Arabidopsis thaliana: one gene and its partner. The protein of the gene in region 2 interacts with the protein of the main gene of each other region in a pairwise test. Each region holds a gene or a part of one and is shown on either strand. Other genes may lie near its edges. The genes, in order: DWF1 and PERK15.

Region 1 (3,930 bases), on a different chromosome or scaffold from region 2:
GGATGTACTCAACAAACTGTCCCTTTTTCAGGGCGGTCTGCGCGTGCTGGTAGAACCACGGCTTGAACCACCATCCCACATTGTTGATTTTGTTCCCTTTCTTCTTTGCCTCTTCTTTAGATGCATATGTTCCAACCATCATCACTCCTTCCGTTGGATTGTAAACCATGCCTTCGACGAAATCCGGGATTTTCGACTTGTCACCGTCTTTGGGAGCAAAAGAATCAATGTAACCTTGAGCTAAGGCTTGAAGATCACCCTTGACTGGTATGTAAGTGAGTCTCATGTACTCCTTGACTTTAATAAGCCTGATCTCAGCAGCTACAAGGAGTCCAAGAGTTCCTTGCGACCACGGGATTGCGTAGTAAAGATCAGAATACTCATTATCCCTTGTGGCGCGGACAAGCTCTCCACCCGCAAGAACAATCTCGTAAGCCTCAACGGTATCAGCAAACAAACCGTAGATGTGAGAGCTTCCTTCAATACCATATCCATTGATAAGTCCACCAACGGTAAGGTCATCAAGCTCAGCAACAACAGCGAGAGACAGGTTCATTGGGACGGTAGCACGGGAAATCTGTCCCATGTTAACAAGAGGCTCCACTCTAGCAGTCATCTTCTCCTTGTTGATCTCAAGGATGTTACGGAACTCCCCCAAGTCAACCTCGAAATGCCGGGCTCTCTTGTAGTCAACGTTCCTCATTCCAACAGCGATCCAGGGCTTACGAGCAGTGCAGACAAGCCCGTCCTTGGAAGCATCCCTACCCTTAAGCCTTTTGATGACTTTCTTGACATTCTCGTCGTGTTCCTTCTGACGTTTCTCAAAGGACTTGGACTCTGACCACATGTCCCCGAGGTAGATGAGGAAGTAGAATGTGGCTGAGAATGGAAGGACGATGAAGATGACAATGATCCATCTGAACTTGACAAAGTAATCAACCCAAGTCTTCTTCCTCTTGGGCCTCACAAGCGGTGTCTGAAGATCCGACATTTCCTCTCCTCACTGCATCAAACCAAAAAGAAAATCAAATCAACCAGAGTTTCAAAATCCATCACTGTAAAAGTCAACAAGGCCTAAGAAGTGAGCATAAATCTACCAGAATGTCAAAAATACTAAAGATTAGTTTCTTGAATCCAAAAAGAGTATAATAAGCACACATAAACACATACGTATACACACATGTGTATCAGTGTATGTGTATGAAATAAATCTGTAAGAAGAAGATAGTGTGGAGTCCATGGAAACAGAGAGCTAGTGAACAGAGAGACAAAAAGACATGAAGTTATGTTCTGAAAGAACAAGAACACAGAAAATGGTTATAATCTTTAGATCTACACATCTAGTATTCCTACAAAGCCATCAAAGTCTGTTTTCTACCACCAAAATAAATAAATAAAAGTTGGTGAGCAAAGTTTGAAACTTTGTTTGAAATTCTCCAAGACTGAGATGATTAAAATTAAAAAACCCACATAGTTCACTAGTGCGTGCTATGAAACAACTATGAACCAAGTACTGAGAGATCTAACGACAGGAAATGATAAGTCAGCGACTGAGACAGAGAGAGAAAGAGAGGTAGAGAGAGTACCTGAAGAATCCAAAGGAGAGAGAGAGTGAGAGGATGAGATGTGAAAGTGTCCCCAAGAGTGTGAGAGCATTTGTCTTTATAATAAAACGTGATTCAAGCCAGCCTGCTTCACTTGCATTTTTCGCTCAAAACAAGGTATTTTTTATTTCCCATTTTTTTATATAATTTTAAAATAAAAAAGGTAATAATAACGCAAAAATATAGAAATTAAGAAATATATAATGTATATTTTTCATGGGTTTGTATAAGTGGTTTTTCATATTTCTAAGTTTCTTTGTTGTTATCGCAATTAAAAATTCGATGTTAGTTGTAATGTTGATAAATCACATGTGTTATATTTATGAGCAATTTTTTAGTTTATAATTCTGATGTAAGAAAATAAAAATAAATTGTTTTTACTTATATCAGTATTTAATATATTTTTACCAACTCTTTTAACATTTAGAAATTATATGTAAATCGAACCTAGAGCTTAATTAGACATATCTTCCAAAATATAATTTCTTACTTAGCAGTTAGCATATAAAAGGAATATGAGGACAAATTCTTTGTAGGGATATTTTTTCTGAAAAGAGTTTACTGCTATAAATAGGTAAAAGCAAATAAATAAAAAAAGGCAACAAATCTTAGCAGTTTAAATTTCTTTTAAATAGAAAAATATATCTTTCTTTTGGTATGTAAATCACAATAAATTACAGGAAGACATGTGCCCAATGAAGGAAATGTAATTGTCCAATTCGTTTTTTTTTTAAATGCATTTTATGGGTTGATTGTATTGATTTTTGTTTTCTAAATGCTTTTAGCGAAACAGTCCTCCTACATGTTTGTTGATGTACCTAAAGCACATTCCATCCTCGTGAGGTTACTAAGCCGACGATCTTATATATTGTTTATTGGCAAAAAGTTCATTACAACTTTTCTTATCATAATAGTTATTACAACAATCTTTAACATTTAGTTTTGATATGTTATGATTGAAGCAAAAAAAGCACTGCCTAAAATATCTTGAAAACATTATACATTATGAATGCTAATGAGAGTTCCTTATATCTTTCTCTCAACTCTTAAGGGATCTTCAAATGAGTGTTTTTTTTAAGCCAAAACAATTGTGAATTAGTCATTCACTTTCATCTTATTCAGATTACAATGTAGTATTTTAGAAACTAATGTGTAGTAAAAAATTTTATATAAAATGCCTCTTATTTATATAAAAAAAAAAACTACGGCTGTGATGAGAAATGTTTTCCCAAATCCCAATAGCCATGCTTTTCATCAAAATTCATATATGAAATCATTTGTATCATTATCAGTGCCTACATAATACAGTAATAAACACACAAACTATCACGTTATTTGGTGAAAAAGGCTCTCAATATATAATTCTGTTACTGTAACCAATTATTTGATTTCCACCTAAGTATTTTAATAGTTGATTTAGAAAAGCAAATAAAATCATGATTTATTTAGAAAAATGGTTACACTTTAAAGTAATGAAGTGCTCAAAAAGTTTTTTTTGTCGCCAAAAAGTAATTATTTATTTATTTGACATAGAAAGAAAAAAAAAATTACAGGGATGATGGCCTGTCTGAGAAAATATCCAGCTCTTGCAAAATCTCTCATAAAATATATTTACTCTTTAAAATATGCCAACTAATTTCTTACTCACATTTACAGCTACAAATCATTTTTTTGTAGTATGGAAAAATAAATGTCTATTTGGCGAATCACACCTTTTGACATTGACAGTTTGACGTCAGTGAAAATTTGGTTGACGCTTGACAAAGTTTTAAACCGTTACAAGGTCGTGTAATCACACCAATGTTTACATTACAAGAAACACCAATTTGTTTATATATATATCCAAATACAAAGACATTACTCTTTGGTCCAACGCCAAATAAACCCATGCGTCATTTCTGCATCAACAAAAACCGTCTTTGTCCATTCCATTAGTACCTAAAAAAGTGTGAAGAAGCCAGAGACAACAACCCACATAAATTATGATTTGTTAAGATTGAAGCGTATTATGACTAAACACTTCTCTTGAAGTAAAAAAATTAAAAAAAAAAAAAAAGGTGAAAGAAAAAGACAAAAGAGAACGGAGAAACCGAAGAGAGGAGAGTTGAAGATAACAAATCTATAAACGAGGACTGTCCTACTCCCCACATGTGCCTGACGTGATCTCAACTCCTTCACGTGATTTCTCTTCCTCATTTTTTGTAATTTTATTACTAATTCTCCATTTTTTCTCACTTCTTATTAATCCCTTTTTATTATTCAAATTTTTGTTTTCTGCCACTTCCATTTTATTACTATTCTTGCTAAAAGAGAATGGAAAACAAAA
Region 2 (3,930 bases):
TTCGGTGATACTAGACGAGCCTGATGGGTTCTGACCATTGTCGCTAGTCAAACCACTGCATTCGCTGCTACCAAATGTTTTGCTTTCGAACGCCATTTTCTTGAATTTCTTCAAGTCTTCTTTGTATTGTGTTGAGCTATAATCTGAGCTCCCGTCTAAGCTGTAAATAGTACTTTGTCCTGGGGCAGCTCCTTCTGTTAGGTCATCTATAGATATATTTCCTTCGAATGCTCGAACTATCTGCAATTGTCCAAAGAACAATGACACCATTGAACTCACAAAGTTTCATTTTTTATCCTAGTGTTAGATTGAATGTTGCCAAAAGGTTTTGATGTGATAGTTAGTACCTGGCTCATTTTTGGGCGACGTTTAGCTGAATGACGGACACTAGCAGCAGCGCAAGCAACCATTCTCGTCATTTCGTTGATATCAAAATCATTCTCTAACCGCGGGTCAACAAGACCGTCAAAGTTTCCATCGTTTAACGCTTGTATCATCAGAGGTTTTGCCTAGAGCATGAGGTAAAGTTTAAAAGCTTATTAAAAGTGGTGGTAAGGGAAACAAGATAACCAACCCAATCAACGATGCTATCATCATCAGCAAAAGGCTGTGATTTATCAACAGGACGGCGTCCGGTTATCAGTTCAAGAAGCACCACTCCAATTGAGAAGACATCTGATTTCTCAGTAAGTTTCCCTGAAGAAGCATATTCAGGAGCCAAGTAACTGCATCACAAGAAAGAAGTTTAAAAGATTGTTAGTATGTTATGAACTTATTATGGTTATGGTTGCGTATAGAAAAGAGTGTTTCGTACCCGAAGGTTCCCATAATCCGAGTGGAGACATGAGTATCAGTGTCTAAAGAAGACCTGGCAAGTCCAAAATCTGCTAACTGATGAACCAAGTTCAGCATTATTAGTAGTGCAGTCTAAACAACATTTTTATATAGTTTTACAAGTTCAAGAATACCTTCGCCTCATAGCTATCGTCAATTAGAATATTTGCAGCCTTGACATCGCGGTGTATTGTCTTAGGATTACCTGAAACAAAACAAAATCTCCTTGACAAAAACTTCAGAAACTAATGTTGTACAATACTCAAAGACAAGAACATTATACTCACAATCTTCATGTAAGTATGCCAATCCTTTAGCTGCACCCAAAGCAATCTTCATCCTCTTTGACCACTCCATTACCGGTCTCTCTTTCTCTACAAAACAACCACCATAATTCAAACAAAACTGCGGGAATTCACGCAAGCATAACTGAAAACAAGTCTTTTAAAAAAAACTCACCGTGTAAATGAAATTCGAGAGTCTTATTAGGCACAAACTCATAAACAAGCAATCTTTGAGCACCAGTGATACAATAACCAAGAAGAGAAACAAGATGCCTATGATGAACTCTACTAATAGTCTGTATCTCAGCTTGAAACTCTCGTTCACCTTGTCCACTTCCAGATTTAAGCTGCTTAATAGCAACCAAAGTTCCATCAACAAGAACTCCTCTATGAACATAACCAAACCCACCTTGTCCAAGAAGGTTAGTGTTGGAGAAGTTACTAGTTGCTTTAGACAAATCTTCATATGTAAACAAGTTTTGTCCAATCTCTGATGAACTCCATTGCTGAAGATTATTGCTATCATCTACAAAAACAGAGGAATTGAATAATCATTAAAAAAAGATTGAGTCTTTGGAAATAAAGAAACCCTAAATAAAGTACCTTTGGGATCTAGTGAGTCTCTGTTAATAGAAGCTTCGATATCTTCTTTCTTCTTCTTCTTTAACTTCCTCTTCTTTCTTTTATAGAAACAGACAAAGATACAAACTCCGAGTAGGACAAACGTAGCTCCGAGAACTACTCCAGTAATAAGTCCAGTTAATGCTACATTTCTCGAGCCTCCATCAATGTTTGTTGTTGTCTCCGGAAACGGAGCCAACGAAGAAGGTCCGATGATGGATGGCTGAGACGGAGCTGGTGACGTCGCCGTGTCTGGTGTGGTGGAAGGAAACTCCGGCGCCGGTGGAGATGAGAGGGAAGGGATAGTGTCGGTAGACATTAGATCAGAAGATGATGAGGATGATTTGGTTTTTCAGGCGTGTGTGCAGGTTTTTCTCATGGCGGAAGTGAAGACGAAGACGAAGACGAAGAAGACGAAGACGAAGGAGAATGAAGAAAGGGACATGCGGTGGGTCCCGTCCCACTTGAGAGATTTGTTCTTCTGGCAAGTGTCTCTTTAATTCTCTCGTCACTCTGTTTCTCAGTTAGTCAGTTAACACTTACCAACCATCAAAAGAAGAACTAATAAAGAGCCAAATTCATCTTATGTTTTTTATTTAAAAATATAATCATTAAGTCAACATTTTTAAAATAATAAAATTTACTAATGATTTTTAGAATCTTTAAGAAAAATTTACCATATAAGTCAACTTTTTTGCTTTTTTTTTTTAAAAAAAAAATTTTAAAATTTTTATACACAATTTTTTATATGATTTTGGATGACTCGATACAATATGTCAAATTAGAACTTATTTTATACGGACTAAACTAGCCTATATTTTCAAGTTTGACTAATTTTAGAGAAAAACTAGTCCAGCCAAAAAAAATTAGTCTAGTAAATATTCAATTCGATCGGATTTTTTTGCAAAAAATAAAAAAATAAAAAATCGATGGAATCAAATTCCGACTTTCTAATCCACAGTAAAATTGTTTCGGAAAAATCCGATTTCATGAAAATAATTTTTAGATCTAATTTTTATGGTGTTTTTATAACTAAAATTTTTTTAAAACTATAAATCAAATTTATTTTGTAAAATTAATATTATAATGTATATAGTAAAATTATCTAATCAAATTTATACTTACTACTGTATAAAAACAAGCACGACTACATAAGTATATTCACATTGTCTTGTCTGCCATTAATTTTTTTGTCTTTAAAAGTAAAAAAGAATCAAAGGGACCAACAAAAGATATGAAAAAACATACTAGTACTACTATTTACCGTGATCTTTGGTTTGTGGATTGTATCTCTCCCTAAGGTACCCATCAAGTTGAGAATTATTGAATTCTTTGAACAACTAATTCCACATCATTTTCCAAGTATTGTATCTTGGTATATGCATTCTCCTTCTATTTTTTGTTTGCTCAATAAATTGTACGCGGTGAAGCCAGCCAGATACCCGGTTTATTAACCAATCCTATGCTTCCGGAGTTTTTTTTATGTTAATCATTTACATAATAAAAAGAAAAACAATTAATGTGGTAGGGTACGGACGACAAGTAGGTAATCAATGGAAGCAATTATCAGGAACCATATATATTTGACAGAAGAAATATAATAACCGAAAACAATTACGTTTTCACAAGGAAAAACACAAAACGAAATCTCATCCAACAATGTTTTCAAGACAAAATCTGTGAATCAAGGATTACTAATAATGGAAATCCATTGCTTTGTTATGCATCAAAAAAATTTATATAGATTTGGCAATGCAATCTCAAGATCATTTTAATGATAAGGTTAATTGGGAAAAATAATCGTATTTGTCTTTGGTACGAATAGAAACCAAAACAACTTCGAATTAAACCATATCAAATTTCAAGTCACAGCTCAATAGTAAATTGCAAAACAGCAAACAACACGAACCATTTTGTGATAACCAAGAGTCAACAAAGAAATGCATTTTTTTTTTTCTTGGGTTTCACACAATGGTTGTTTTTGTTGGTTCTTTATAGGTTGAGTTATGCAAAATAATTTTTGTTACGTTCAAAACGAGGAAGAAAAAAAAAATTAGGTGTGGTGTGGTTCAAAGAATTGTCATCCAGTGTTAAAAAAACATTTTTTACATAAGTTTTTGTAGAATATTTGAGAAATTTCATTTTTAGAATATCCATTTTCAAAACTACTCTTACCTTTTATACATTATTC

Evidence for each region.
Region 1: the proteins of PERK15 (region 2) and DWF1 interact in a protein complementation assay, tested with the Arabidopsis thaliana proteins (one large-scale study listed by BioGRID).

The regions. Positions count from the first base shown.
Region 1 is NC_003074.8:6,880,626-6,884,555, forward strand, and holds the start of DWF1 (cell elongation protein / DWARF1 / DIMINUTO (DIM)), read right to left. Parts: upstream 1,691-3,930; 5' UTR 1,587-1,690; exon of another isoform or gene 1,004-1,586; 5' UTR 992-1,003; coding exon 1-991. UniProt on the Arabidopsis thaliana protein: Plays a critical role in the general process of plant cell elongation. Involved in the synthesis of campesterol, an early precursor of brassinolide.
Region 2 is NC_003070.9:19,470,305-19,474,234, forward strand, and holds the start of PERK15 (Protein kinase superfamily protein), read right to left. Parts: upstream 2,279-3,930; 5' UTR 2,059-2,278; coding exon 1,722-2,058; intron 1,645-1,721; coding exon 1,294-1,644; intron 1,209-1,293; coding exon 1,122-1,208; intron 1,040-1,121; coding exon 969-1,039; intron 892-968; coding exon 815-891; intron 726-814; coding exon 575-725; coding exon of another isoform or gene 510-574; coding exon 348-509; intron 241-347; coding exon 1-240.